7 linked regions of the Coturnix japonica genome follow. The main gene of each other region encodes a partner of the protein of the gene in region 7 in a complex. Links are inferred from orthologs where the notes say so. Each region holds a gene or a part of one and is shown on either strand. Other genes may lie near its edges.

What was found.
Region 1: the proteins of GNAO1 (region 7) and HRH3 are in contact, whole or in part, in a cryo-EM structure (PDB 8YN7), measured with the Homo sapiens proteins. The link is inferred for Coturnix japonica from reciprocal best matches to the Homo sapiens genes GNAO1 and HRH3. Residues at the interface, in NP_066268.1 of Homo sapiens: Ile28, Ala31, Lys32, Asp33, Val34, Lys193, Asn194, Leu195, Asn312, Pro315, Asn316, Lys317, Glu318, Ile319, Tyr320, Phe336, Thr340, Asp341, Ile343, Ile344, Ala345, Asn347, Leu348, Arg349, Gly350, Cys351, Gly352, Leu353, Tyr354; in NP_009163.2 of Homo sapiens: Asn69, Asp131, Arg132, Ser135, Val136, Ala139, Val140, Tyr142, Arg143, Ala144, Gly147, Ile221, Ile225, Arg228, Arg232, Thr345, Phe348, Arg349, Arg352, Val356, Leu360, Cys415, His416, His417.
Region 2: the proteins of GNAO1 (region 7) and C3a anaphylatoxin chemotactic receptor-like are in contact, whole or in part, in a cryo-EM structure (PDB 8I95), measured with the Homo sapiens proteins. The link is inferred for Coturnix japonica from reciprocal best matches to the Homo sapiens genes GNAO1 and C3AR1. Residues at the interface, in NP_066268.1 of Homo sapiens: Ile28, Ala31, Lys32, Asp33, Val34, Asn194, Leu195, Ser264, Asn316, Glu318, Tyr320, Asp341, Ile342, Ile343, Ile344, Ala345, Asn347, Leu348, Arg349, Gly350, Cys351, Gly352, Leu353, Tyr354; in NP_001313404.1 of Homo sapiens: Asn57, Asp119, Arg120, Val123, Val124, Pro127, Ile128, Gln131, Asn132, Arg134, Asn135, Tyr356, Ile359, Arg362, Gly366, Arg367, Phe368, Ser371, Lys374, Thr375, Val378, Leu438.
Region 3: the proteins of GNAO1 (region 7) and GALR1 are in contact, whole or in part, in a cryo-EM structure (PDB 7XJJ), measured with the Homo sapiens proteins. The link is inferred for Coturnix japonica from reciprocal best matches to the Homo sapiens genes GNAO1 and GALR1. Residues at the interface, in NP_066268.1 of Homo sapiens: Ser264, Asn316, Glu318, Tyr320, Asp337, Asp341, Ile343, Ile344, Ala345, Asn347, Leu348, Arg349, Gly350, Cys351, Gly352, Leu353, Tyr354; in NP_001471.2 of Homo sapiens: Thr70, Arg133, Ala136, Ile137, Ser140, Arg141, His226, Leu227, Leu231, Asn233, Ser235, Lys236, Lys237, Ser238, Ala240, Ser241, Lys244, Thr245, Thr248, Leu306, Ser307, Glu308, Asn309.
Region 4: the proteins of GNAO1 (region 7) and RGS16 are in contact, whole or in part, in a crystal structure (PDB 3C7K), measured with the Mus musculus proteins. The link is inferred for Coturnix japonica from reciprocal best matches to the Homo sapiens genes GNAO1 and RGS16. Residues at the interface, in NP_034438.1 of Mus musculus: Glu64, Asp65, Gln68, Ser75, Arg86, Thr117, Val180, Lys181, Thr182, Thr183, Gly184, Ile185, Val186, Gln205, Arg206, Ser207, Glu208, Lys210, Lys211, His214, His236, Glu237, Asp238, Glu239; in NP_035397.2 of Mus musculus: Glu85, Phe86, Ser87, Glu89, Asn90, Glu124, Ala125, Pro126, Glu128, Val129, Asn130, Asp132, His133, Glu134, Leu161, Lys164, Asp165, Ser166, Arg169, Lys172.
Region 5: the proteins of GNAO1 (region 7) and CHRM2 are in contact, whole or in part, in a cryo-EM structure (PDB 7T8X), measured with the Homo sapiens proteins. The link is inferred for Coturnix japonica from reciprocal best matches to the Homo sapiens genes GNAO1 and CHRM2. Residues at the interface, in NP_066268.1 of Homo sapiens: Lys24, Ile28, Ala31, Lys32, Leu195, Tyr320, Asp337, Ala338, Thr340, Asp341, Ile343, Ala345, Asn347, Leu348, Gly350, Cys351, Gly352, Leu353, Tyr354; in NP_000730.1 of Homo sapiens: Asn58, Arg121, Cys124, Val125, Pro128, Leu129, Thr130, Pro132, Val133, Lys134, Thr136, Ile209, Ser213, Lys214, Ser215, Arg216, Ile217, Arg381, Lys384, Val385, Thr388, Ile389, Cys443.
Region 6: the proteins of GNAO1 (region 7) and ADRA2A are in contact, whole or in part, in a cryo-EM structure (PDB 7W6P), measured with the Homo sapiens proteins. The link is inferred for Coturnix japonica from reciprocal best matches to the Homo sapiens genes GNAO1 and ADRA2A. Residues at the interface, in NP_066268.1 of Homo sapiens: Ile28, Lys32, Lys193, Asn194, Leu195, Asp218, Phe336, Thr340, Asp341, Ile343, Ile344, Ala345, Asn347, Leu348, Gly350, Cys351, Gly352, Leu353, Tyr354; in NP_000672.3 of Homo sapiens: Arg77, Arg146, Ser149, Ile150, Ala153, Ile154, Asn157, Leu158, Arg160, Pro162, Ile234, Ala238, Arg241, Arg383, Arg386, Phe387, Val390, Leu391, Phe444, Asn445, His446.

The regions. Positions count from the first base shown.
Region 1 is NC_029535.1:6,944,620-6,948,879, forward strand, and holds the start of HRH3 (histamine H3 receptor), read right to left. Parts: upstream 2,801-4,260; 5' UTR 2,776-2,800; coding exon 2,562-2,775; intron 2,208-2,561; coding exon 2,041-2,207; intron 1,211-2,040; coding exon 350-1,210; 3' UTR 1-349. UniProt on the Homo sapiens protein: The H3 subclass of histamine receptors could mediate the histamine signals in CNS and peripheral nervous system. Signals through the inhibition of adenylate cyclase and displays high constitutive activity (spontaneous activity in the absence of agonist).
Region 2 is NC_029516.1:61,386,569-61,388,793, reverse strand, and holds the end of C3a anaphylatoxin chemotactic receptor-like, read right to left. Parts: 5' UTR 2,225-2,225; coding exon 851-2,224; 3' UTR 501-850; downstream 1-500.
Region 3 is NC_029517.1:81,400,084-81,404,069, forward strand, and holds the start of GALR1 (galanin receptor type 1), read right to left. Parts: upstream 2,801-3,986; 5' UTR 1,847-2,800; coding exon 1,157-1,846; intron 1-1,156. UniProt on the Homo sapiens protein: Receptor for the hormone galanin. The activity of this receptor is mediated by G proteins that inhibit adenylate cyclase activity.
Region 4 is NC_029523.1:6,076,672-6,080,682, reverse strand, and holds the start of RGS16 (regulator of G-protein signaling 16), read left to right. Parts: upstream 1-1,211; 5' UTR 1,212-1,294; coding exon 1,295-1,374; intron 1,375-1,820; exon of another isoform or gene 1,821-1,911; coding exon of another isoform or gene 1,912-1,916; intron 1,917-2,207; coding exon 2,208-2,309; intron 2,310-2,441; exon of another isoform or gene 2,442-2,708; coding exon of another isoform or gene 2,709-2,782; intron 2,783-2,920; coding exon 2,921-2,982; intron 2,983-4,011. UniProt on the Homo sapiens protein: Regulates G protein-coupled receptor signaling cascades. Inhibits signal transduction by increasing the GTPase activity of G protein alpha subunits, thereby driving them into their inactive GDP-bound form.
Region 5 is NC_029516.1:54,483,653-54,487,741, reverse strand, and holds the start of CHRM2 (muscarinic acetylcholine receptor M2), read right to left. Parts: upstream 2,801-4,089; 5' UTR 2,660-2,800; exon of another isoform or gene 2,212-2,659; intron 2,197-2,211; 5' UTR 2,045-2,196; intron 1-2,044. UniProt on the Homo sapiens protein: The muscarinic acetylcholine receptor mediates various cellular responses, including inhibition of adenylate cyclase, breakdown of phosphoinositides and modulation of potassium channels through the action of G proteins.
Region 6 is NC_029521.1:23,172,893-23,176,901, forward strand, and holds the start of ADRA2A (alpha-2A adrenergic receptor), read left to right. Parts: upstream 1-1,209; 5' UTR 1,210-1,578; coding exon 1,579-2,913; 3' UTR 2,914-4,009. UniProt on the Homo sapiens protein: Alpha-2 adrenergic receptors mediate the catecholamine-induced inhibition of adenylate cyclase through the action of G proteins.
Region 7 is NC_029526.1:480,271-484,257, reverse strand, and holds the start of GNAO1 (guanine nucleotide-binding protein G(o) subunit alpha), read left to right. Parts: upstream 1-1,187; 5' UTR 1,188-1,446; coding exon 1,447-1,564; intron 1,565-1,637; coding exon 1,638-1,680; intron 1,681-3,987. UniProt on the Homo sapiens protein: Guanine nucleotide-binding proteins (G proteins) function as transducers downstream of G protein-coupled receptors (GPCRs) in numerous signaling cascades.

The sequences.
Region 1 (4,260 bases), on a different chromosome or scaffold from region 7:
CTTTAGTTTAATGATTCAAACGTTAGTGTAGCCCGGTGGGTTTGGGGTAGGTCTTTATTTTCTGCGTTTCTCATTTCAACAAAACGTTGGTGCTGCTCAGGCTGACTAGGTGGCAGCAGAGCTCTGCTGTGCTGGTGGAGGACACATCACTGCCTGTGGTGAACGTTAACATGGAAAAAAACCAACCTCCTCACTGCTCTTCTGCTTGGTTTTGTTGGTGATGAACTGGCATAAGTTAATAGTGATCTCCCAGCTGCCTTCCTCACGTGCTGCAGAGCAGTGATCCCAGCTTCTGGAGAAGCAATATTACGCCTGTGTTACAAAGGCTCTCCTGCACACAAGGCTAGCTTCATTTCCAGCAGTTCTGCAGGGGATTGTGAGGTTGAATCTTCAGCTTCTTTGGACAGAGGAGTTTAATAAAAGCTCTTCTGAAGCTGTAGTGACAGAGGGGATACAGGACGGGGTTGACAGCTGAGTTGATCCACAGCAGCCAAAAGGAAGTCTCGTACCAGTAGTCAGAGATGCAGTGGCCGTGGCAGCCGGCACGAATAATCATAAGGAGGGTGTACGGAGCCCAGCAAATCCCAAAAATACCCACAATGACTGCCAGCGATTTGGCTACTTTCTTGTCTCTGGAGAGCCTGAAGCGGTGGGTCATGCCCTGGGAGACTATCTTCATCCTTTTCTCTAAGGACAGTGCTGAATCCTTACAGCCCTTTTTGTTGCAGCACTGGGATCTCCCCGAGCTGGCTGTCAACGGGTCTTTTGCTCCAGTGGAAGCTGCTGCTCGTGCTTCGCTCTTAGAGAGGCTGAGGGTTGCAGCCGGCTCCTTCTGCTCCCACTTGTAGCACTTTGAAGGAAGCTTTGCTTCTGGGCTCATTTCCATCTCTTCAGCGAAGGACTGGTTGTGCACTTCGTGGAAAACATCCAGGCGTAGTTTGGTCCGCTTTTGTATGTTCAGGTAAATGCTCAGGTTGAAAAACATGACGCTGATAAAAGGGGTGAAAAATTCCAGCGTGGAGGCTGTCATGAGAAAGTACCAGTTGTAGAAAAACTCAGCATAGCATTCCCCGGTGGGTATGATGCTCTCACCCGAGATATACTCCCAGCTGATAATGGCAGGTCCATAAAGCAGGAATGCTAAGACCCACACCATCACCATCTTCAGCACTGCTCGCCTGGTGTTGCCTTGCTGGGCTCTGTAGGAGACCTGCAATGAGGAAACCTTTCTGTAAGCACGGCCACGCACACCAACTGGTTGAGGCATTTCACGAACGCGCTGTTGGCATTTCTGGTACAGCTGCAAGGCAATATCACAGCGCTCTAACAAATCCCCATGCTACAGGCAGCAGGAGCAATTGCTGGATATATCACACACCTGCCAGGAAGACTTAGAACCTTCATCTCGCAGCACCAGAAAGAGACGTGAGTTCTGCTCGGTGGAAATGCATTGCTTTGCTTCAAACCCAGCAGTTTGCTGCTCCCAGCCTCATACCTGAGCTGCCCCCAGCTATGCTGCACCTCCTGGGGACAGGCATGCATCACACACCGGGCATTCAGCTCTGCCTTGATCTGAACATGAGCACCGTGCAGCTGACCCAGGTTGTTCTCAGAGTCAAGGAGAAACCAGGCACCTGTGGCTGTGATCAGCCTGGGCAAGGCTGCACCACACCTCGCAGTACCCACAGACTGAGCACAGTGCCCTGCTGAAGTTGGTACTGAAATCTCCCCAGCTTTGGGTCTGCAATCTGCTTGTCTGCCCCGGAGATCACAGATCTCTGCAATTCATAGCTGCCTTCCTGTCATCTGCAAAGGAACACCAGCACAGTGGGGTCCAGGATATGTTTTAAATACGCCAAAAACACTCATCAGAAACCAGAGCTCAATTAGGTATTTGTGGATAACCATTCCTTTCCATCTCCAGGCTGAAAGATTAACAATTCTGTGGACGACTGAGAAAGCTTTTAATTATTGAGTCTTATCTGGAGAATAAAGCAGGAAGAGAATCATTTCCCTCTCGGCTGCTGTGCCGGGACTCACCGCTCTTGTCACCGAGAGGAATCTGTCATAGCTGATCAGCACGATGTTGAAGACCGAAGAGGTGCAGAGAAGGTAATCAACTACCAGCCAGAGTTTGCAGAGGCTTCTCCCAAAGATCCATCTCCCTGTCAGCACATAGGGCACGTACAAGGGAATGCAGAAGGCACCTGCAACCAGAGGGCTCCGTTTGTTCAGACACGCGGGGCCGTGACCTGCAGCAGCACCGCCGCCCGTGTGCTCAGCTGGGCTCTGCTCCGCTGGGTGCGGGATTGGGGCGTTGGATGTGGGATGTGAGATTTGGGATTGGGATGTGGGATACGGGATGTGGGATGCGGGATGCAGGATGTGGGATGTGGGATGTGGGATGTGTGATACGGGCGGCCGCTGCGGGGCAGAGGGGTCGGGGAGAAGCGGCGCTGCGGGACGGAAGCCCGGAGCTGCGGCCGGGAGAGCGGCTGGACCCCGCGCCGCCCTCGCCGCGAAGTTTCGGACGCGTTGCTTCGCGGCGGGCGGCACTTTACCTACTAAGAAATCCGAGATGGCCAGGTTGAGGAGGAAGAAGTTGTTCTGGGTGCGCAAGCTGGAGTCCGCCACGAAAGCCAGCATCACCAGCGCGTTGCCGGCCACGGTGACGGCGATCAGCAGAGCCATGAGCGCGCCCAGCGCCGCGGTGCCGGCGGCTGCGAAGCGCCCGGAGGCGGCGGCGGATCCGTTCAACGCCCCGCCGCTCTCCATGGCCCGCACCGCTCCGCACCGCCGGAGCTGCCGCCCCTCCCCGGCCCGGCCCCGCCTCCCGCAGCCGGGGCGCATCCCCCGCTCCCCGCCGCCGCCCCGAGCATCCCCGCACCGCTCGCACGGAACGCTGCCGGCCCCTCGTTCCTTTGTCCCTTCGGTTCCCTCGATCCTTCCGTAGTATCCACGCGAGTCCCGCTAAGCATCCCCCCAGAGACAGAGGCCGTGGGGAGTGCTGACGATTTCTGCCCCGATGTCGCGATGTGGATGTAAACGCCTAATTAAAGTCAGCCCCGAATGCCCTCGTGCAGGTGGAGGAAAGCAGCGATGCTCTTGCCCATGGTCCTCACGGGCAGCAAGGGAAAGGTACAGATCTCGCCCTGCCCAGCCCACGACCTGCAAACCGGGGGCTTGTTGCCCTTTGCTTCTGGCTGCAGGGAGTCGATTCCTCCTCCCTCAGCTCGTTTGGCTTTTCATAGTTAAGGGAGTTACTTTTGCTTGAATTTATGTATATATATATTTTTCCAAAGCTCGAGCAGAGGATGAAGGAGCTCCAGCATCGCGGCAGAGCTGGCATTTGCTGGCACCTCTTCCCATCCCTTCACTTTCGGTCCGGGCTGGCAGGAATCGCTGTGTCCGCCCCGGCTCCACCACCGCGTCCCAACAGAGGAGGTCACTGTGAGCCCGTGAAGCGCTGCCGGGGACAGAGAGCGGGGCTTCGAGTCGGGTTTATGGTGGGATGATGTTTAACAGCCGACTCTTTCATTCCGCGGCTGTTTGAGAGCTCGCGCTGTTTGTAATCACCAGCTATTCAGCCAGTTGTTAGTATTCATTAAGACATCTATGCATTCCAAATGACTGCGTGCATAGGGCGGCACTGACACTGCGGGCTGCTCCTTAGCTGTCAGTCATTATTCAGTTTGTTCCATCAGAACAGAAAGCAGAAATCATGCTTTGGACCGAAGGTAATTTACAAAGGGATTCCAACATGTTACCTGGACTTTTCAATTACTGTTTAACCAGAATGACCTGCCTGGCACCTTGGGTCAGTAAGGGACAGCAGAGCTGGGCAGAACAGAGTTTTCCTGCTCTGTTTCTCTCTTGCTTCAGCAGGACAACTATCGATCCAATGTATTTCTGCAGTCATGCTGTGTTGGTAAAGAAACAAAGGAAATCACCCAGCCTAGAAGGGTTAATTAGCAGATTACATACAGATATGCAAGCAGATAGTACAGTGGCTCATGTTTTGACCTGGCTTATGCACTACATAAGTCACATGTAGATGTCATGTTCATAAGTGCTTGTATGTGTTCATTAGGGTGCACTGATTAGTCTGTTGTCACCTGTCAGGGTTTTCTTCTTGCCCTCAGAACTGTGTATCACCTGGTCCTCAGGCAGACACAAGAGCAGATAACCAGTATAAAGATCCCAACCCAAAGCTCCCTATTCAACCCAATTCTTAAAGGCTTCTGGAATGTCTCAGCTGAG
Region 2 (2,225 bases), on a different chromosome or scaffold from region 7:
GCCCCACTTACGTGTACATTGCAACTGAGACATTTTAGGTTACGGTTAGGCTGTCTGTTTTCCCAACACCGAGACCAGCACATCTTTCAACTCTCATCTTGGCTAGAAAAGCTGTGAAAACTACACTGTGGCTTAGTAGCTCCCCAAATTCTGTTTGTGATAACCTGAAATACAGTAGGGATATTTGGGCAGCCTCAAACACCTTGTTAAAGGAAAGTCTGTGACTCTAATGTTGGAAGGAGTGCTGAGGAGCCAGTGAGTAAATGCTAATGAACATAGTTACAGCATGAGAATTAGGGCAGTTACCACTGTACAGTGATATATTTGCTGGGATAAACATGATACCTTAGACATCTACTAGTACATGAAAATCAGTTCAGTGCATCTGACTGGAGAATGTGCTGTTCCTATGCAATGCTGTAGTAAACCGTAGTGCTTCACTCTACCTATCTTCAGAAAAAAACCCTCTCAGACCCAAGTACAGTCAAAGGAGACATCAGTGTTGCATTTTATCTTTAATAGACATGCAAATAACTGATTATTTTCTTATTCAGCAGTTCAGAAGTTGAAGTACATGATTGCACTACAAACCATTCTGCAAGCCTTCTTTACTCTTTAAAGTATTCTGGGTCTCTTGCTTCACTAGTCTTTCCCTAAAAATTATTACTCTTAGTATTTCTGACTTCCCATCTTGCTATAGTAGGATATAAAGTGGATTAGCAGATCTAATCTGAACCATCACAGTGCCCCGTGTGCAATTCTGTTCAGTAATCAGATGTGTTAAAGCAAAAAAAGTGGAGAGTGGTTGATGTACAGAGCTCTTTCTGCAGTAATGATGGGAAGTCCAGCATTAGACTGTGGTACTAACATCCTTATCGTTTGAAGTCTTGCTTCTGTCAAGAGAGTAAGGGGTTGAACATGTTGGTTCCTCTGTAAAGACTCCTTCCAAGACTCCTTGCAGTGATTGCTTTGCCTTTGCCCTGAAGTCCCGCCCCACAAAAACATACAGCAGAGGGTTGATGCAGCTGTTGGCATATGCAAGAGCTACAGAGAGGTGATCCCAAAGGATCAGTGACTCCTTCAGTTCTGTACCGGGAGTAGCCACAAGGGACAGAAACCCAACTGCGTGGTAGGGAGCCCAGCAGATGAAAAATGCAGCTATCACAAGAATGATAGTTCTCAGCATCTTGCTTTGTGGCTTACGGTAGTTACTTCTTAGCATCCTGGAAGCAATAAGGGCGTAGCAAACTGCCATTATGCCGAAAGGAAGTATGAAGCCAAAGACAGCCCTAGTGATAGTTATTACAATTAAGGGAAGGGGTATGGCATAATCATTACCACTAAAGACATCGTCAAAATCAAGCAAATCAAGAGTATCAAGTAGCTTTAAATCGAAGTCATTGTTGGATAGTACAGGCACATTAGTACTAGGTAGATCATCCAATAGCCTGATGTCTGGATAGGGAGTCGAATTTAACAAGGAGTACACATCTACAGTGGCATGAGAAAGGTGAGCTGCTGCAATTGCACCATTGTGGGTGGACATGCTGTTTGCCTGAAAATCTGGATAGCTATCAGTAGGCTGATGAGCAAAGACGGTGCTAACATGTGTGACAGCTGGTACTGAAGGTGAGTATTCTTCCAATATCCCAGTTACAAGATCACTGTCATCTGCATAATCTGGTACTTCATAATCTCCAAAACTGTACCCACACTCAGTTTTTCCACCACCAGTGACAGTGTTGCGGTAGTGAAAGACTGGACAACAGAAAATGAAGGCCAGGATCCAAATGCCACTGCAGACGAGTGAAATAAACTTGACTGTTCGATGGTTTTGACACCAGACTGGTTTCATCACGAGGAGGCACCGGTCTATGCTGATCACCATAAGTAGGAAAACACTAGCAAACATGGTGAAGATTATGACTGATGGGATGACTTTGCAGAGAAACCAACCATATGGCCAGTGTTCATTGAGGAACAAGTGAACAATGAAGAATGGCAAAGACAAGCAGCACATGAAGTCAGCCACAGCAAGGTTTAGGAACCAGATGATGTTCACAGACCTCTTCATTTTCAAACCAGCTACCCAGATAACCAACCCATTGCCTGGGATACCTATGATGAAAACAAGGATGAAGATAACCAGGGAGCTGATGGATTCTGGTGCATAGTATACAGCATCCTGATCATGTGAACTGCTGTTAACCAGGAGCGGAGGCATT
Region 3 (3,986 bases), on a different chromosome or scaffold from region 7:
CATTTTACATAGGAAAACATGTTTTGTTTTATTTTTTCGCCATTTGCCAGGCTGGACTTGTTTCACTACCAACAATAGGTTAAAAACATCATCCTTTGAGTTCTGCATAACTCAGAGTTTTAATAGAGTTGGATGCTGTTCCAACCTGAATTTCCACAGTTAAACTAACTTTATATATATACAATACATACAACTGAAGATAAAATTATCTGTTCAGATTAAATGCATTAACTAAGCCTTTTTAACGTGCTTATTAAAGATGGGATTTTGTGACACCTAAGCAGTCCCCATCTGCAAAGGTGGTTCTGTCCACTTGAACCCAAATTACTGCCTAAGGAGAAATCCCATGACTGATGCTGCTGGTGCACACTAGGAGGATCTCTGTGCAGCTCACTGGGTCACAGCCTGTGCTTGAGTCCTTCTTGATACTGCATCAAAGGCTGAAATTAACATCTGCAGAAAAACATGACCATTTTCCAGAGCAGAAAGCCCTTAAGTACACCCATTCAGGCAAATGCACTAAATGATTTCCTACTCAGGTTCTCACTTGTTGCTTCCTAGCACCTGACCTTGCTTAATTCAGAGGTAAATCTCCCTCTGCAGAGCAGGGTGAGGTTAACAATGACCAGGTGACACCTTATTCCTTTAGCTCATAATATTTTAATGGGATCAGACGAAATTGGTGGGATTTTGCTGTCTTGTTTTCAGCACACCTCATTTCAAAAGAGCTGCACTGCTTTGTAGGAAGCCTGAACAACTTGTTGCTTGGTTGCACTTCACTGGAGTTAAACTCTTCATGCAGCACAGCAAGGAAATGGGAGAGTTGTGGTCACAGAGGAAGCAGCAGAGCACTGGGGCTTTCTGACACTTTGTAAGGAGAGGGGACCCGGAAGTGTCTGAAGAACACACAACACCCCCAGCTACTCCATGCAGCCCTCGACCTGTCTGCACCACACACACACGTCCCCAGCTATCCCTCCACTATAAAACCCATCCCCACAAACTCATTTTTGCCCCATCACCTCCTTATGCTGCTGGTTCCCAACAATGCCATGTCCATCTGCGCACCGGACATGTCCCCACAGCTCACGGATACCCACCACCGCTATCACCATTGCTTTTTACAATCCCTTCCCCACCACCTGCCCTGCCCCACCTTGGCATAGCAGAAAGAGATGAGCAGCAGAGGGAGCAGATAACCGAAGACAAAGGTGCAGACCACGTAGACCTTCTTGTGGCGCGGGTTGGGCCAGTGTTCCCAGCAGAAGGTCTGGTCGCTGCCATTGCGGTGGAAGAGGCGCTGGTGATGAGCCACTGGTGAGGCCATGGCAAAGGAGAGAGCCCAGATGAGCCCGACTCCCAGCAGCGCGTTGCGGGGGACGCGCAGGGTGGAGGAGCGCCGTGAGTGCACAATGGCCACATAGCGGTCCACGGACATGGCCGAGAGCGTGAAGATGCTCACCAGCATGGAGACGGTGAAGAAGTAATGGATGAACTTGCAGATGAAGGCACCCAGCACCCAGGTGGGTAGCACATAGACCGTGGACTGGAAGGGGATGCAGAAGAGCAGGTAGGCCAGGTCGGCGATACTCAGGTTCAGGATAAAGATGTTGGTGGTGCTGCGGCGCTTGCCCGGCTTGCTGCGAGCCAGCACCGTGATCACCAGCGAGTTTCCCAGCACCCCCAGGGCAAAGATCAAGCCGAAGACGATCAGGGTGATGAAGTTCTCGATGCCGATGCCGAAAAGGGGCTTCCCCTCAGTCTCCAGCAGCCCGGAGGCGTTGAACTCCCCGCGGGGCGACTCTGCCCCCTCCTGGGACCGGTTGAGGGGCTCCCCCGGTTCCATCCTCTCCTGTTGACGCCAAGCAAAGTTTCCGCGGGTGGAAGGCGGAGGCAAAGCCCCGCGACAGGTGGCGGCCACCCCCGCCAGCGCCGGGCAGGGGTGGATGGTTAGAGGGTAGGAGGAGGAGAAGGAGGAGGAGGAGGAAGGCGCCGCCGCCGCCCAACGTGCGCCGCCGGGTGCGGAGGAGGATCGGCAGCCCCGGGCAAGCTGCGCTCTCCCTTCCCTCCGCCTCCGCCTCCGCCAGGCTCGCCCTGGCTCCCGCTGTGCCGGCAGGTCGGGCAAAGCGGGGAGCAGAGGGACTTCTTTATTTCCCGATTTAGACGGTAATCGGCTTCTCAGGGCAGCCGCCTCGGAAAAGTTCTTCGTGCCTCTTGTGCCGGCTGTTGGGCAGGGTGGAGCGGCGGCAGGCGGGGCTGCGGGAGTTCTGCATCGAGCTCGGACAGGTAGCAGGCAGTAGGAATTCGGACGGACTATTCAAAGCCCGGTCTCACTGTTTTCACCTCCCTCACAGGCTGCTATTATATGTTCCGTCATGGGCGGTAGCTCGCAGGGCAAAAAGTGGCAGGCGCTGTTATTTCATACAAGCAAATAAAAGACCACCTTTCACGTACCAATCACGAAGAACGTGTTCCCAAAGCTCCCCGTTGCTCTGCTCTGTGCCCTGTTAGTCAGCGATGAGCTCAGAGCCGGGCAGCAGCAGGGAGCTCTTCCAGGGACCAAAATTAGAGCGTCTAAATAGTGGTTCTTCTCAGAGCTGGGCAGAATGCAGAGCCTCCCGCAGGCTGTGTGTATGAGTTCACGTAAATACTCTCACACACGTGCACCTTGCCAATAAAACAGGATTGCTAGAGAGTTCTTGAAATGTTTTCGATCTGTGTGCTACATCTGATGTTAGCATTGCTCCGTCTCTCTTCTCAAGGGATGAAACTGTGAATTGTTGCAAATCCCCTCCACCCATATGGAGGGACGGGCTGGGAGAGCCGTGTCTTCCTTCAAATACTTCTTTTATGTGTCCTATTTACTCAAGATCTCAGTGCTACTTTGCAGCACCTTCCACGTGGGGAGCAGTGGGGACAAAGAGAACCAGCTGTTCAGATGTGTTTCCTTAGGACACGAGCTTTTGTTTGCTTCTCTTTAGACCACAGTTTAACGGTTTTTTTCCCCCCACCTTTCCTTTTGCTGCTTGTATTAGGACAACCTTTCAGAAGCTCTGCATCAGCTGACTGTAGAGCTATTGACTTCTGCAGATCTAGATGGGAATTAATCCTACTTATCATCTGGTGCATTATGTCAAAAGTAAAACATTATGGGAGAGCGCAATTCAGTTTCTATAGATTTCTACGGATTTAGATCGAGCTGCTTCCTATATTCATCATGACTCAGTTTTGGAGTTACAAATAACTAAAAATAAACCACTGAAGACTCCTAAGAGATTTGAGGGTTCCTTTGTTGTTGTTGTTTTTAGTGTGTGTACCTCATCACTACATTGTCATGTTCAGTTACTGCTTGGACCTACTACTACTGTATACTTCTGTTAGGGATCTGAGAACAGATGTTAAACATTTTTAGAATGTATCAGATACAGCAGACTTATCAGAAATATCCAAGTATATGGTCAAAAAAAAATGGAAGTATACATAAATTCCCTTAGTGTAACTGATGCCTATGTTTATTGCTATGAATTCCTTTATATGAGACACAAGAAGCTGATGTTTTGCTTTTGAGTCAGAGAATATCCTGGATTGGAAGACATCTACAAGAATCATAGAGCCCAGCTCCTGGCTCCACATGGAGCAACCGAAATTCAAACCTTTTGTCTGAAAGCAGTGACCAGACACCCCTTGAACTCCAGCCCTGGGCAACCCGTTCTATGCCCACCACCCTCTGGTGCAGACACTTTCCTTAACTCCCAGCTGTCCCTCCCCTGGCACAGCTCCATTCTGTTCCTTCAGGTTAATCATGTGCTGTTGCCAGACATCAGCCTTTTTTATTCTGTCAGGAGTGAAACCTTAGCCTTGCTGAAGCTAGTGCTAACATTGAGTTAATTGCAACTCTCCATCTGAAATGTGTCATTAGTCCTCATTGCTCAGGTCTTCTTCTATTTTCTCAGGAAATATTTTCCTTTGAATGTTATAGTCTGAAT
Region 4 (4,011 bases), on a different chromosome or scaffold from region 7:
GCGACACAGCTGGGTTTTTGTGTTCCAAAACAAGGGCTGATAATACAGAACGCAGGATGGAGCTGCAGGAGGCTGCTAAGCTAAATGAGACAGGAAGCACGTAATTAAATTAGATATTGAACAGAATGAAGACATCCGAGTACATGCACGTCGTTGGGCTCAGAAGCTATTGCATAACCCTAATGAAGAGCTGTGCATTAGAAAATATTATACGGACCATCTCCCATGCTGGAGCTCACCCACTAAAGGGGAAAGATCAAAACCTAATCATGAGGGGTCCCTCATCCCTGGGGGTACTGGAAAGATGTGTGGATGTGACACAAATGGACAAGGACTAGTGGTGGGTCTCCATAGGTCAGGCTGAAGGTTGGACTTTGTAATCTTGCATGTCTTTTCCAACACTGATGGTTCTATGGTTTCCCTCCTGCTGAGGTTTTATAAAGATTCTCTCCCTCCTGTGGGATTTGCATGGCCCAGGCTCCCATTGCAGCCTTTTCTTCACTTCTGACTTCCATCAAGCCTCTCATCTGAGCTGAGTGGTTCAAAAGATGCTACAGGGAGAATGAGGCATATCTACACCTTGTTTCTATGGGAAAAAGCAGTAAGGAGGAAGGGGCTGGAGCAAAGTGAAGGCTGGAACATCAAGGCCAACAATCACAGAACTACAGAACATCCTGAGTTGGAAGGGAAACATAAGGATTGTAGAATGGTTTAGGTTGGAGGGGACCCTAAAGATCATCTAATTCCAACCCCTCTGCCATGGACAGGTCGTCTCCTGTGAGCTCTGACCATTAATGTGTTACTTTGTGTAGCACCAAAACGTCTCTTCACTCTGCTCTGCACAGCAGCATGGTGCTGGGGGGCTGCCACGGGGTCAGCAAGGTGTGCTGGTCCCCATGTCCCTGCTGCAGTGATGCCACCACACCAGCAGCGCAGGGACGAGTGTTTGGAGTCATCAGCTGGTGGGATGGTGCTGACTAATTGCTTGTCCCCTCTGCTGTCCCCGCGGTTACTCAGCAGGCTGCACACGTCGGTGGACGCCAGCCTGTTTTTTCCACTTATCGAGGAAGCAGTGCTGACTGTGATGCTCAAGGACAAGCCTCCCACCCCCTCCCTTTGCACCTACCCAAGCTGTTATCTTCTCTGCTCGTGCTGAGCAGCTGTTGGTTGGCTGGAGGCTGGAGTGGAGCCGGATACCCTCCCAGCCCTCCCACCCCATATAAGCACAGCTCCTCGATGCTGTTTCAGCCAGCAGCACACCACACAGCAGCACAGGTGGTGCCCCGAGGATCCGATGTGTTGCTGGATGCCTTGGTGCCCAGCTCTCAGCATGTGCCGAGGATTGGCTGCGCTTCCCATCGCTTGCCTGGAGAGGTAAGGGGCTTTGCCACGCCGCAGCGCTGGGAAGCAGAGGGTTAGCCGGAAAAGATGCTCCTGACATCGGATCAGCCTCTGCTGTCATGATGTTTTGCTAGAGATCAGGGTGCAGACTGCACTGAACTCTCAACTAGAGACGGATGCAAGATTTCCTGTGGTTCCCAGGGAGGGATGTAGAGGTAAAACACAAAGGCTGCCCCTCATCTCACTGTGTGCACACACAAGGTTTGTTCTGCCGACTTTGTCACTGCACAGGCTGGCAGAAGCACTGTTTTAATCGAGGTGCTCACAGCACTCGGTGACATCCTGCCAAACAAGGCTACAAAGCAGTGCAGTGCTGGTGCCCTGACATTTAATCACTTATTTCTGCACGGGTGCCCTGGGATGCCAGCAGCGCTGCGTACTGCCAGGGGACCAAAGGGAGAGGAGTGGATTTAGAAGCAGCTCCTGCCCTGTTGCTGCAGGACACTCCATGGGGATGCATCTGGCTCTGAGTTGGCACTGCTGCCATTGTGCTGTCCAGGCTCCTGAGGCATGGGGTAGGTGCTGGTGACAGCTCTGTGGCACCCCCAAAAAGCAGGGGAGGAGCTGCAGCAGCACGGCATGGAGATGATGCTCCCTCTCTGCTGAGCAGAAGGCGAGTGCTGTGATTTTTCCAGCTCGCTACAGAGCACGGTTGCCAGGGAGCAGAAAAAGCCATTAGAGGATTGCTTGTTGCATGCAGCAGAAAGCAAGAAAGCCAGAGAGCTGGAGGAGAGAGGGCTGCCCCTGCCAGCAGGGATGGTGGTGTCAGTCCCCACATTCCAACCTCTCTATTTCCTCCCATCCAGAGCCAAGGAACTCAAGACCCGCTTGGGGATCCTGCTGCATAAACCGGAGCTGAAGCATGGCGTTGGGGCAGCGTGCAAGCTACAGTTGGGCTCCAGGAGGAGGTAAGCTGAGGCTGCGGGTCCCCTTGGGCTGGGCTGTCTCTGGGGATGCTCTGCTTGGCTGGGAGGATGCGGTGCTGCTCATCTGGGTGGTCCCGCCCCGCTGCCTGCCACGTCCCAGCTGCACCAGTTATAAAGTCGGATTGGAGAGGGATGCACCGGCATTAGGCGGAGTGGGGGCTTAGCGTTAAGCTGGAAAGCCAGAGGGCTCCCATAGGTGCTGGTACCTCAAACCCGTACCTGAGTCCCCCAGGGAATGCATACAGCACTAAAAACAAAACACTGAACCTCGCGGCTGTCGGACAGACGCCTGCATGCAGAGGGGGCTCTGCTGGGCTGCTACTGGGGAAGAGGGCTCCACTGAGCGTTCTCTAGAGAAGACTGCCCAGCCAAAGCTGCACGATGGAGCTGAGGTCTGGGGAGCCATCAGGGAATGTAAAAGAAAGGGGGAAAGAGAAAGGAAAGAGGGCTCACAGGTAAAGGATACTGGGGTCTCGCTGTGGCTTCCTGCTGGTGCTGCTGCTTCCCTTCTTGTGCTGTCTCATCGTGGATGTGCTCCCATCCTTCGCCGGCAAGACAGCAAGCCTCACGTCCTGTTGTTTGTTTTCTTGCAGAGACTCCTCACGAGAGGTGCTTGAGTGGAGGGAATCCTTTGACCAGCTCCTCAAGAGTAAAAGTGAGTCGGATTTTGTTTTTTCCTCTTTACAAGTGCATGTAGGATGTATCCCGGAGCCAGGTCTCCTCCTCAATTAGCTGCTCTAGAAACTCGGAAGGTACCCCTGTTGCCCATTGTGCAGCCAGGTCCCTTTGGCTTTACCCTTCCCTTCTGGCTGGATGTTTTTGGGGAGCAGAAGTGCTGTCTCACAGCTCTGTGGGCCAGGAGCATTGACGTGGGCATGCTGAGCAATGGCACGGACCTTCAGCTGGAAGGTATCTTTCCACTGCATTCTCTGGGCTCATGTCTGCTGCCCGTGTAGCTGCTTTCATGCAGGATTTCATTGCTTTGGAAAACATTGCTGCCCTCTGTCTGCCCATCCTATACCTCTCCAGTAGCTCTTACACGAAGAGAAGGCGTTCAACTGCTGTGCTGAGATCCACGCCTCCATTTTCCTCTCCAAAATTCACAGCAGAGCATAAGGTTCTTGTAAGGCGTTGTACCTGTAGGGCCAGCAAGGAGACCAAATATGAACACAAAAGTGTTTGCTTGATTTTATTCCATGGCAACAGACAGTCCTTCCGCAGTGCTAGTCTATGGCCAGGAATCTTTTTTCCAGCCTTTGTCATGTGCTGTGAAGGTTAGCAAACATCTCCAGCTTCGTAACTGAATAAATACATCCCCCAAGCCTGGTTCCCCTGCTGCAGGCACTCTCCCATATTCCTCAGCATCTCATTCCCCCAAATCCCAGCTGGGAAATAAAAGCAAAGCCATCTCTCCTTATTCCCGCGTGCATACTCATATCTCAGTGGATTTCCCCTTCATAGAATTAGCTCTTTTCCGAAGCTGTAAAGAAACCACTCTAAAGACTCATTACAGAAAGGTCAGATAAATAAAACTGGAGGATTATTTGTCTGTGGGAAAGGACTTTATTGGAGCCTTAAGGCCAGTCAGCAGAGGTTCAGAGGCTGGAGTTTGTCCAGAGGGAAAGGAAATCCACTGATACTGCGGTATGGTCTCCTAGGGAGATGGTGGGCAACGCCACATCCA
Region 5 (4,089 bases), on a different chromosome or scaffold from region 7:
GAGTTACAAGTGGATCAGTTATTTCCTAAGATCTTGGTTTTGTATTAGAGAAGATTGTGGGCTTGACAAGCTGGCAAACCTGTGGTACTACTTCTCTCTCTCCAGGTGCAAGAGCAAACAGGGTTGTTTTTGCAATCCAGAGGTCCTGCAGAGGGGAAGCTCGACCAAAGTTATAATCAAAAAGAGCCTAAAGGAGAGAGAGTATACTCTGCACAACATAACACAGTTTATAGACGAGTCATTGAAAACGGCTGGTGTCATAAACTATGTAATTGAGGCTGGCACGTATTTAGACAGAGCTAGGATTGCAGGCAATGCAATACCATAAAAGCAGACAGAGCGCCTACTCCTAATCTCCCTTATTAACCTTCCTCATTGACAATCTCTTTAAAAAACCCCACAAACAACAACATCAACAATAACAACAAAAACCCAACACTGCTAAAACTCACCCTCAATTTTATTTCCTCTCCCCTTTTTCTCAAGTGCTAAAGAAAAATGTGCAAGCACACTGGATGACACTTAAGTGGGGAGACATACTTCTCTGGCTGAATTTTCAGCAAGAAATATCCCTGTCCCCATCCTCCAGTACCAGTTGAAGAAAAAAGAGTTTGCATAAAGGTACTGCAAGCGCTTGAAAAGAATATGGATAAAAAGAGCTTTTCTGGAGTGTGGTGAAAGTCCCCTGTCCATTCTCCACCGACGGGGTGCAGTGATCACCCCGAGGCACATAAAAAGAGCCTACATGCCTGGTGGCTCTGCGGAGACCCCAGCTGAACAGCAGCTCCCAGTCGAGAGTGAAGAAGGGTTTGAAAGAAACTCGCTGGTGGGGTAGGGCAGCACTTTGGCCCTACAGAGCTCCGAAAATGGCTGGACTTTGAGAGGGTAACCGACACCACAGCTCCCGGGGCAGTCCGGGAGGTATTCTTGTTCGCGCTGTCAGAGCAGCTCCCTCTCGAGGCTCGCTCCTCCCCGCCGCAGGCACCCCGTGTCTGCGACCCGGAGCAGAGGGAGCCCGGAGGAGCAGCCGGCAGAGGCTTACCCCCACACACACCAGATCAGTCGGAACGTGGTAGCGGGTAGCGCTGAGCCCGACCCTGGAGCATCCTCACATCCTCCCCCGGATCCACCTGTGACTGGACCGCAGGGGGCACCTACCCAGAGAAGTGAAGTCGGAACTGGGGAAACCTCCTGCCTTTCTCGCCTCTGGCGGAACCCCAGCCCCCTTCCAGCCCCCTCCCCCTTATCCCCCCCTTGAGACCTGAGGCCACGGGGATGGGCGCTGACCCTGAACACATGCACGGTCCCTAGGTGGGGTGCTGAGGAACCGCACTGGCATGGAAGAAGTCTCCTTTTCCTATTGCCCTCTCCGTCTCTGCCCTCCTCACCCCTAGGGCAGGCTCCACTCCCAGCTCCCGAGGACATTTTGCAGGACTCACCGGCAAACATGTCACAGTGGGATTTGGGACGGGTAGCCCGGGAGACGTCCCTGTGTTGGAACTCAACATTTACATTATTTAAAACAAAAACTGACAAACAAACAGAAAAGCCAACTTGAGAAGCGCTTGGTAAATGTGAGGATTTCCCTAAATCGGGTTACCGCGTCTCTCCTTCCTGGCTGTACCATTTAGCCTCGGTTCCGGGATGAGTATCACAGCTGTAACTCAGCAGAGGAAATCTCTGCTGGGGCTTTGCCTTCTCTCCCCTCGCTCCCAGCCCCCGATGACCGCAGTGCGATAGACCCTTTCAGCAAAAGTTTCCCCATGTTTTGCTCTGCTCCTTCTATTAGGAAGCAAAACGTAAGGTCGTTTCTTGGACATTATTTTCTTGGCGGGAGCTTTCCCTATGACGGCAGCAGATGAAACTGTAGGTGCGGCGAGAAAGGGGAGGAGGGCAGAAGGCGAGAAAGAAAAGGGTGGGGGGAAAAATACCAAAATAAAGACTGAAAGAACAAGAAAAAAAAGGAAGAGGAAGGGAAGAAAAAAAAAAAAGAGAGAGAGAGAGAGAGAGAGGAAACATCAATGAAAAAGCGAAGCTTTCTTACCTGTGATCCAATCACCAGAAGTTGCATCCCATCCCGCTGCAAGCGGCTCTTTGAGAGCGGCGGCTGCGGAGTGGCCCCGGCTCTGGCGGCAGAGCATGCGAGCTGCGCGCATCAGCGCCCGCAGGCAGACGCTTTATCTTTCTCTTCCATATCTTCCAAGAGGAGGGAGGGGGGGGGGGGGGGGGGAGAAGACAGATTACTTGGTGCCGTGATAATGAGGGGAAAGAATAACAGTTGGAAAGCATTAAACGAGAGGTGGCATTGTCCGGGTTGATGGAGTTTTTGTCTCTCCCTCGCTCTCTCTTTCCCTCCCACATGCGCAGGCACACACACACACACACACACACACACACACACACACACACCCCGCACTCTCTCCGTGGCACTGGCCCTTGGGAGTCTGCTCCAGCTCAGCCAAGATCAGCTTTAAAATACATATATATGTATGTACACACACATATATACACACATATATACATAGAGCTATCAGACCTGGCTTAAAGGTTTAGACAAAACTGGAGAATTTAAAAATAGAGGATACTGGGGCTCATAAATGAGCCGATTATAATTCGTATTTCCCACAGTACTCCTAAGGAAATGAGGACAAGCTGCCACCTTCATGAGGGTTGGCAGCAAGGAGGGGATCCGGGCGCCCAGGTAAGCATCTCACAGTGCTGGTGGCTGTGCGGCTGTGGGTCCGGGTGCTGTGTGCTGTGTGTGGGTGTGTGAGCGCCAAGTGGGCTCGATTAGCTGCAATGGGCAGGCAATTTCTGCAGAGAACATTTACAATTTTCTTTCAATATGACAGGATTAGTTGCTGTTGAAGGCTCTCCTCCAATAAGATCAGCACTGCTCTCTGATTTGGTGGCTTTGCTGAATAGAAATTACTGATTCTTGTTATCTTTCAACACACTCTTCTTCTTCAGACACTCCCCTCTTCCTCATCAGAAGTCTTTATCTACAATTTGCACATCTGAACTGATTTTTTTTTGTTACCTCTTCCCCATTTTTTCAGCTCAAAACTCCCCCACTTTATTTGTTTTTATTATTATTTTATTTTATTTTATTTTATTTTATTTTATTTTATTTCATTTTATTTTATTTTTGCCATTCTGTGATGGCTCTAAGTCTCACTTGATATATGGGAGGAAAAAGAGATCTGGGTTTTAGATTATTTCAGTCACCGGAGTCTCTGTGCACTGTGGGGAAAATGTACCAAATCCAGATTAGTTTTTCAAACTGATTATTGTGCTGAAATATTCATGGGATGCTGCTTCCCCAGAACAATGACAAAACAATTAGGAGAAAGAGACACATTCTGTGAACAGCACTTAATTCTCCTTGGATGTATGTAAAGCACTCCCTTTTAATTAATAGTCATTAGGCTGCAAAGTATTTACTTTGCTTAAGGGAACTTTTAGGTTCCATGGAAGTAATCTAGATCTAAACATCTTCAGGTTTATTTCCTTTGTTCTGGACCAGAATGCATTTGTGGGCTGGGATTGTGGATTTCTTCCCTAATATTCAGGGCTGCTGGAGTGGCAAACAGAGGAAGGGAGTTCATCTGATCTATAGTATGAAGGCTGAGGGGACGGAGGTGCAGAACAAACAGGAAAGAAGGGAGCACTCTATGAAGGTGACCCCAGTTTCTGCCTGAGTGCTGCATGCACTGCCTTTCTCACCCAGCTCTCTTCTTGAAGGACCACTGGATACATTGCCCACTAACTCCTCTCCAACCTCCCCCTTCGCTTTGAAGAAGTTATTTCTTGTAATGGGTTTGCTCTGAGCAGAGAAACTGCCTAGAGTACTTGCAGATATTAAGCTGTTCCTGGGTAGATCTCACCATTGGTTTTACCCTCCAAAAGGGAGGTGTACGTTCAGGATACCAGGATTCTGAAATTCTCTGCTGGGCCCCGTGCATCTCCTGCCCTTGGTGATAGGACTCACCCACAGGCAGGGAGCTCTGAGATTTGAAGGCACTCATGTTTCAGTGTTATACAAGTCTGTTTTTCTTTACCTGAGAGTACTTTCACAAGGTGTAATTG
Region 6 (4,009 bases), on a different chromosome or scaffold from region 7:
AGGAGAGAGAAAAATCAAAGCAGCTGTTGTGGTTTCATCATTTACATCTACACTCTGTCTAAGTTGAGGAATGTGGCTCTGAAGATGCGCTGGGTGCACCAGAAAGGCACGAGGTCCCAGCACAGCACCCCCAGCCTTGCTGCAGCCCCAGGTGAGTCCCTGCACCCTGTCTCCATGTGCCCTGTGGTGTGAAGTCAGATTTTACAGATTGCACCTACTCTGATGGAGGTCAGTGTGCATAGGAAAGTGTGTGTGTGTGTGTGTGTGTCACTGTGGCCTCAGTTTAGAGACTTGAAGGCACTCTCTGCAGATGGCATCTGTAAAATGGGCATCTCCCCCCACTGCCTTATCACCCGTGTCAGCCCTGCAGGCTGTACTTAGCAGCTCCCACACCCCACATCCCAGGCCCTGCTTTGTGTCACTGCTTATAGCACAGTGTGGGGATGAGGGAAAAGGGCTTTGTCCCTCTTGCACGTCAAATGCCTTTATTAGCTCAAGCACCTGGTGTGGTAATTAATTGAGAGCTGCCTGAACCCTGATCATCCTTAGGGACATCTAAAAGTGAGAGCAAAGAGCCCACGAGAGTTAAAGCAGGGGCTGTAGCGGTCACCGCTCTGTGCGTGCTGAGAGCTGGGCGTCACCAGGTGTGCCACCACTGCTCTTTGTTGTTAATGAGGTTCTGTGATGCTGCTGCAATTCAGGGGGGCAAAGTCACGGGGGTCTGAGGCTGCTCTCTTCCGTGGGGCTGCCGCCCGCCTTCCATCCTCCTGCGTGTAGGGGGCACTGCGGGAGCTGGGCTGGGGCGGCGACCCCCTGGTGCCGGCTGCTGAGGTTCGGGTGCCGCGAACCGCGACCTCGCGTGGGTGCCGCGGCCTCGTGGGCCACTGCGTGCAGTGCAGTGCGGTGCGGCGGCCAGCAGGTGCCACTGCCCCCCCGCGCTGCCTGGGGCCGCTGCCGCCGCCCGGCTGCTCCCCCCACTTCGCGTTCCCCCAACACGCGACGGTCTGAAGCTGCCCCAGGGCCGGGTGTGTGCGGGGGTGGGGGGAAGAGAGGGGGGAGCTTTCCCGGGACACGGCCGCGAGGGGAGGGGAGCCAGTGCGCGATTGGGTGGCACCGCGCCGTAAGGCTGCGATACTCGGGGGGAGTCGGGGCTGGGGGGCGAGGGGGTCGCGGGGCTGCGGGGGCAGCGTGCAGGACGCGGACGGGGCTGAACCTGTCGGCGCTGGAGGTGAAGCTGCGATATGTGTGTGCGTCTCTGTGTGTGTGTGTGTGTGTGTGTGTGTGTGTATGCGTGTGCGCGCAACGGGGGCAGCTCCCCACGTGGGGCTGACGCGGCAGCCCCGGCCTGATCCGGGGCTATAAAACGGCTCAGCGACGAGCGAAGCAGAGCAGCCTCCGCCGGCTGCAGCCCCGACCCCGCTCCGCTCCGAGCCCGGCATGAGCCGCGCCCGCCCGCGCCCCCCCGGCCGCCGCCTCTCAGCCCCCGCCCGGGCGGCGCCGCTGTAGGAGCGCGGAGCCCCGCGGAGAGCCGGGTGGGGCAGGGGGCGAAGGGCGGGGGGTGTCCGCGCAGCGGGGTTGATGTTTAACCCGGAGCGCCCGTTCACGGAGAGGGGCCACTTCTTCTCCTCCATGGAGTACCAGCGGCAGCTGGAGGAGGAGGAGGGCTACCCGCCTCCCGGCGCCAACGGGACTTTCAACGACAGCGCGGCCGGGCTGGGATGGAGCATGCCGTACCCCCTGCACACCACCATCACCCTCATCAGCCTGGCGGGCTTGCTCATGCTCTTCACCGTCTTCGGCAACGTCCTGGTCATCATTGCCGTCTTCACCAGCCGGGCGCTGAGGGCCCCCCAGAACCTCTTCCTGGTGTCCCTGGCCTCTGCCGACATCCTGGTGGCCACCCTGGTCATCCCCTTCTCCCTGGCCAACGAGCTGATGGGCTATTGGTACTTTGGCAAAGTGTGGTGCGAGATCTACCTGGCGCTGGATGTGCTCTTCTGCACCTCCTCCATCGTCCACCTGTGCGCCATCAGCCTGGACCGCTACTGGTCCATCACACAAGCCGTCGAGTACAACCTCAAGCGCACCCCGCGCCGCATCAAGTGCATCATCTTCATCGTCTGGGTCATCTCAGCCGTCATTTCCTTCCCACCGCTCATCTCCATAGAGAAGAAAAGTGTGCAGAAGGTGAACCAGTGGGCATCAGGGTGCAAGATCAATGACGAGAAGTGGTACATCATCTCGTCGAGCATCGGCTCCTTCTTCACCCCGTGCCTCATCATGATCCTGGTCTACGTGCGCATCTATCAGATAGCCAAGAGACGAACCAGGGTCCCGCTGAACAAGAGGGCGGAGCGCCCAGAGAAAAAGCAGAACGGCTTGGCCGACAAGGAGGACCTGCCAGCCTCAGCCCAGCTCAATGGGGAGAAAGCAGCCGGAGCTGGTGATGGGCAGGAGGGAGAGGTCAATGGCATAGACATGGAGGAAACCTCCTCCTCTGAGCACCAGGAGAACAGCCAGCCCAAGAAAGCAGAGAGACCCCTGCGGGGAAAGACCAAGACTAAGCTGAGCCAGATAAAGCCTGGGGACGCTTTGCCCAGGAAGACAGAGGAGGAGAGGAACACCAAAGGGTCCCGGTGGAGGGGCCGGCAGAACCGGGAGAAGCGCTTCACCTTTGTGCTGGCCGTGGTGATGGGGGTCTTCGTGCTCTGCTGGTTCCCCTTCTTCTTCACCTACACACTGACTGCAGTCTGCAAGAGCTGCTCTGTGCCTCCCACCCTCTTCAAATTCTTCTTCTGGTTCGGTTACTGCAATAGCTCCCTCAACCCAGTCATCTACACCATCTTCAACCAGGACTTCAGACGGGCCTTCAAAAGGATCCTCTGCAGGATAGAGAGGAAAAGGATCGTTTGAAGGACCCACAGGAATGGGCAGGACTAATAATTCAAGACTTTGCAAGAGAGTAAGGCACGACTGTCCTTGGGCTGTGCTTGCATGGGATGGTTTCCTTCAACTTCTGAGCAGGAAGCCTTCCAAACCCGAGATGAGCCCACTGAAATGCCCAACAGCGGCAGCGAGGAGCGGCAGGCAAGTGGAGGTCTGAGCCTGGCACTCAGCTCCCAGGGGAGGATGGCTTTCGATTCGCTTGGTTTACTTTGTGAGGTTTCTTTCTTTTGCCACAGAGTCTCTCAGTGGATGTTTTCATGACTGCTCAGTTTGACTCTTTAAAGACAGATGACGCACAGCTCCGTGAAGCGAACAGCAAAGCGGGAGTATGCCCCCTTCAGAGGTGTTGGCTTTTTGTTTTGTTGTATCTTCCCCACTCCCCCCCCCACCCCCCCCTCCTGTTGTATATGTAATTAGTTTTAACCCCCTTGTAAAATACAGTGTTGTATCTCTGAATCTGAACGTCTTAATTTTTGTAAGGCAAGCAGCTTCGAAACTGTGAATGCTTTAATTATGTTTGACACCTGAAAACTCCCTTTCTTCCCACTCCCTGAAATCCCCCTTTGCTCAAAACCAGCAAAGAGTTAGAGCAGTTTCTCCTGCCTGGCAAGTGGGTAAAATCACCAACATTTCCATTTCCAGTGTCCTGTTGTTGTTCTTTTTTCTATTTCTATTTCTTTTCCTTTTTTTCTTTTTTCTTTCTTTTTTTTTTTTTTTTTTGGCTCTAAAGCTGAGGATCCTGCTCCCCCCCAGGCTAGCTTTTCTTTCATGTTTTTTTCCCCTTTTCTCTCTGTCCTAACCTGGTTCTGTTGAATTCAGCGCTGCCCATGATATAAGAAGGCAGAGCTGTAATTTCCACATCCCTACCAGTTGCAGCAGAGCCAAGGGGTGGTTGCTGTGCAGGCGGGCACCCAAGGGCTGCTAAGGGCTCTTTCTCATGCTGTGCAGAGCTTGGGATCCAGCCAAGCTCCCAGCAACTTCCCCTCGGCTGATATAACACCGTATCAAAGTTCCAACGTGTGTTCAATGCTAACTCGGTTCCCCCACCCCTGACTGTACATAG
Region 7 (3,987 bases):
CTGGCTGGTACCATTGAAATGAAACCTACTGATTGAAATTCTGATCCTATTGATTTTACACAGGAGATCTGCTCAAGTATGAAAGAGCAGGAATTGCTCCGCAGCCACCCCCACCCCCACCCGCTCCCTGCTGAATACAGGCAGTAGGTTTGCTTTCCCATGCAGGTATACCCTTTTCCCCTGGGCTCCCAGAAATAAATTACCCCAAATTCAGATATTCAGTACCTATTAGCTCACAAATGTTCGGTAAATACCGCTGGCCCTTGAGTACGCTAACATTATTTATGAGCTCCCTTTTACTTCCCTTTGTCTGCTCTGCCTCACATCTCTGCTATACACTGTTAACCACATGCCACGCTTCTCCCCTTTGTTTCAGAGGTGTAGAAGGAAAATGGAAACGGTGCTTTATGGGAAGGAGGTCATATAATGTCAGCCTGTGCCCAGCCCCACCTGGGCCGGGTGTTTCATTATGGATAGTCACAGCGGGCAGCGGCCCCACAGCATCCTTCTGGTTCTGTTTGCAGGGAGGTGGAGAGGGCTGTGGCAGCAGCTCTGTTCCTTCAGTGAGCTCCTCGGCCTGGCTGCTCGTGGCAGAGGGCAGCCTGCTCCCAGAATACAGGCCTTGGTTTCATAGAATCAATCAGAGCTCTCCCTTCCCTGGGTCCAACCCCAGCTCACCCCACCAGGACCACATGGCACGGCTCTGACAGCTCCATGGATGGTGACTCCCCCCTTCCCTGCGCAGCTGTGCCACCGCCTCACTCTTAAAGAAGGAATAGTTCCCAGTCCCCAACCTGACCATCCGCGGTGCAGCTCGAGGTCACTACCTCTCACCCCGCCGCTGTTATCTGGAGCAGAGGCCGAGCCCCCCCCCAACCTGCTGTCAGGGGTCGCAGAGCCATGAGCTCCATGCCGAGCTCCATGCCGAGCTCCATGCCGAGCTCCATGCCGAGCTCCTCTCCATCTGACCCAGCCCGTTCCCTCATGCGCTGTGCTGGGAGCATGCGCGGTACTCGCGCGTCACGGCAGCGGGCGAGGCCTGCGGAGCGCGTCCCCCTCCCCCGGCACATCCCGCACATCCCGCACCGCCGCCGCATCCCCGCGCCCCGCCAGGCGCGCAGCCCGGAGCGGCCCCGCCCCGTTCGTCACGTTCCTCCTCCCCCTTCGCTCCTCCTCCTCCTTCAGCTCCGCCCCGCCCCGCCCGCGGCCGCCCGCGCTGCCCGCAGCCCGTGGATGCGCTGAGCGCTCGGGCACGGAGCCGCCGGCCCCGCCGCTGCGGAGCCCGCAGGCCTTTGTTAATCCCCGCGGCTGTCGGCGTTGCGCTGCCCGCAGCTCGGTGCGCCCGGCGGCGGCGGGGGCTGCGCTTTTTTTTTTATCCCCTCCCTTTTTTTTTTTCTTTTTCTTTTCTTTTTTTTTCTTTTTAATTCCATTCAATCCGTTCTCGCCATGGGATGTACCCTGAGCGCCGAGGAGCGGGCCGCCCTGGAGCGCAGCAAGGCCATCGAGAAGAACCTGAAGGAGGACGGCATCAGCGCGGCCAAAGACGTGAAGCTGCTGCTGCTCGGTGAGCCCCGCTCCGCTCCGCGCCCCGCGCCGCCGCGCCCCGCGCTCACCGCTTGTCTCTCTCTGTCCCGCAGGGGCCGGAGAGTCGGGGAAGAGCACCATCGTGAAGCAGATGAAGTGAGTGCCGCGGGGCGCGGGGCGGCGCGGAGGGCCGCGGGCGCCATGTTGTACCCGAGGGCAGCGCCGGGCGGGAGGCGGCGGCCGCTGCTGTTCGGGGCCCCGTGGTGCTGAACGCCGGGATGAGGGCGGCGGGGCGGGCGGTGGGCGGCTGCGGCCGGGACCGGCGCTCGGGAGGAGGAGGAGGAGGGAGGGGGAAAAAAGCACGAAATCCGCCCGTAATGCGGATTTAAAGCGAGGCTCGCTGCCACCCAAAGCCCCTTTTACCCGAGATTTGAGCCTTTTAATTAATGAGAGGCGAACTTGGCCGCCGGTCGCCAATTATGTTGAAAACGGGTTATTAAAAAGGGGAAAGGAAAAACACGCGACCCAACGCGCCCTGAAAAATCAGCCCTGCCTTCATGCAGCACCTCCCTGACAGCTGTGCCGGGCCCCAATGGGAGTGGGCTGACATGGCTGCCCCACACCGTGCCCCCAGCACACAGTGATCCCAGCACGTGGCCAGGCGGTGCTTCCAGGGGGAGAGCCAGCGGGGCTGTGGGAGAGCATAATGAGGGGTGGGAGAGCCTGTAGAGGTGTGGGAGAGCCAACAGAGGTGTGGGAGAGTCAACAGAGATGTAGGAGAGTCAACAGAGATGTAGGAGAGCCTACAGAGATTTGGGAGAGCCTTGTAGAGATGTGGGAGAGCCAACAGAGGTGTGGGAGGGCCTTTAGAGATCTGGGAGAGCATATAGAGATGTGGGAGAGTCAGTGGTGGTGTGAGAGAGACAACAGAAGTATGGAAGAGCCATTGGAGATGTGAGAGAACCTATAGAGATGTAGGACATCATATAGAGGTGTGGGAGAGTGTACAGAAGAGTGGGAGAGTCAACGGGGGTGTGGGGAGCTCAATGGAGGCATGGGGATCCAACGGAGGCATGAGAGAGCCAGCAGAGGCACAGGGAGCTAATGGAGGTGCGGGGAAGCCAGTGAAGGTGCAGGGAACCAACGGAGGTGTGGAGGTGCAGAATTACTCCATTCCCTTTTCTTCCCTTTAATTAAAGCCCATCCAGCCGCAGCCTCCCACTGGAACGAGCAGGCGCCATAGCTGTGCATTGGGGCTGGGTGTCACGGTGGTAGAGGCACGGAGCGGTTCTTGTTTCCCGATAGGGAAGGAGCCGGTGTCTGGGAGGGGCCGTGGGGCGGGCGGTGTGCCCGATGTGCCCGGTGTGCCCGGTGTGCCCGGTGTGCCCGGTGTGCCCGTAGCCATCCGCAGTCCCTCCGCGCTGTCCCTCGGGCGCGGCGTGGCGCGGCTTTCAGGCGGTTCTCGTGGTGGACAGCGCCCAGCGGGGACTCGAACCGCGGGGAGCGCAGCGCTCGTCTCCTCCCTCGGCGCTCGGCTGCCTTCGGAGAGCGCTCGGGGGCGGTCGGGGGGGAGCCGAGCAGGCTCGGAAATAGCCGAAGGGGCTCGGGCGCCGCTCGCCAACCCTCGGGCGTGGGCTCGCCGCGGGCCCGCAGCCCGGCGCGGTGCCGTGATTGTACGGGGAACAGCACATCTCCTGTAGCGGGGGGGTCCCAGAGGACCGAACCACCGTCCCCGCCCGAGGCAGCGTTCTTCCCATAGAGCTGCAGGGCTGTGGGAGCGAGCAGCCTCGCCCTCGGTGCCGTTCCATCCGCCTCTCCCGCTGCTATCGGTGTGCAAAGGCTCCGAGGCCCCGTCAAAGGGCATTTGGGGATGTGGGGCCGGGAGGATCGGTTTGGTTTGCACTTGTTTGTATGTGAAAGGTGGATCGGGAGAGGAACTGCTGCAGATGAACACCACTAAATTATTTAATCTCTAGGAATGGCTTCTGCAGGAGCGTGCTGGAATGGCGGGCGATGCTTTGGTGGAAGGAGAGGCTGTGGCTGCCACTGGAACAGCGACAGCGCTGTGGGTGAAGGGGCAGCTGTGGCCATGGTGCCTTACACAACCACGCACGGGCTCCTGTGCCGCGGGGACCAGAGCTCTTGTTGTTTAAACGAACTGGTTCCAGATAAAAGCCGGCTGGCTGGGCTATATTAGTAGAGTGAGGGCTGAAAAACACCCTGTTGTAGGTCTATATGTTGAAGGGAGCAGCCCTAATGTGGCACACGGCAGCCTGCAGCCTTGTGCCTGAGGATGCGGAGCTGGCTGCCATGCTGGGAGCTCCGGGCGAGCAGTGGGGCTGGGTGGGGACGCGGCAGCAGCCGGGGGGAGCCGGCACCGCAGGGGAAACCAATGCTTCTGAAAATGAATTTAAATATAATGCAGGCATTAGCATTTCACCTGGTCAAGCTCCATTACACGGG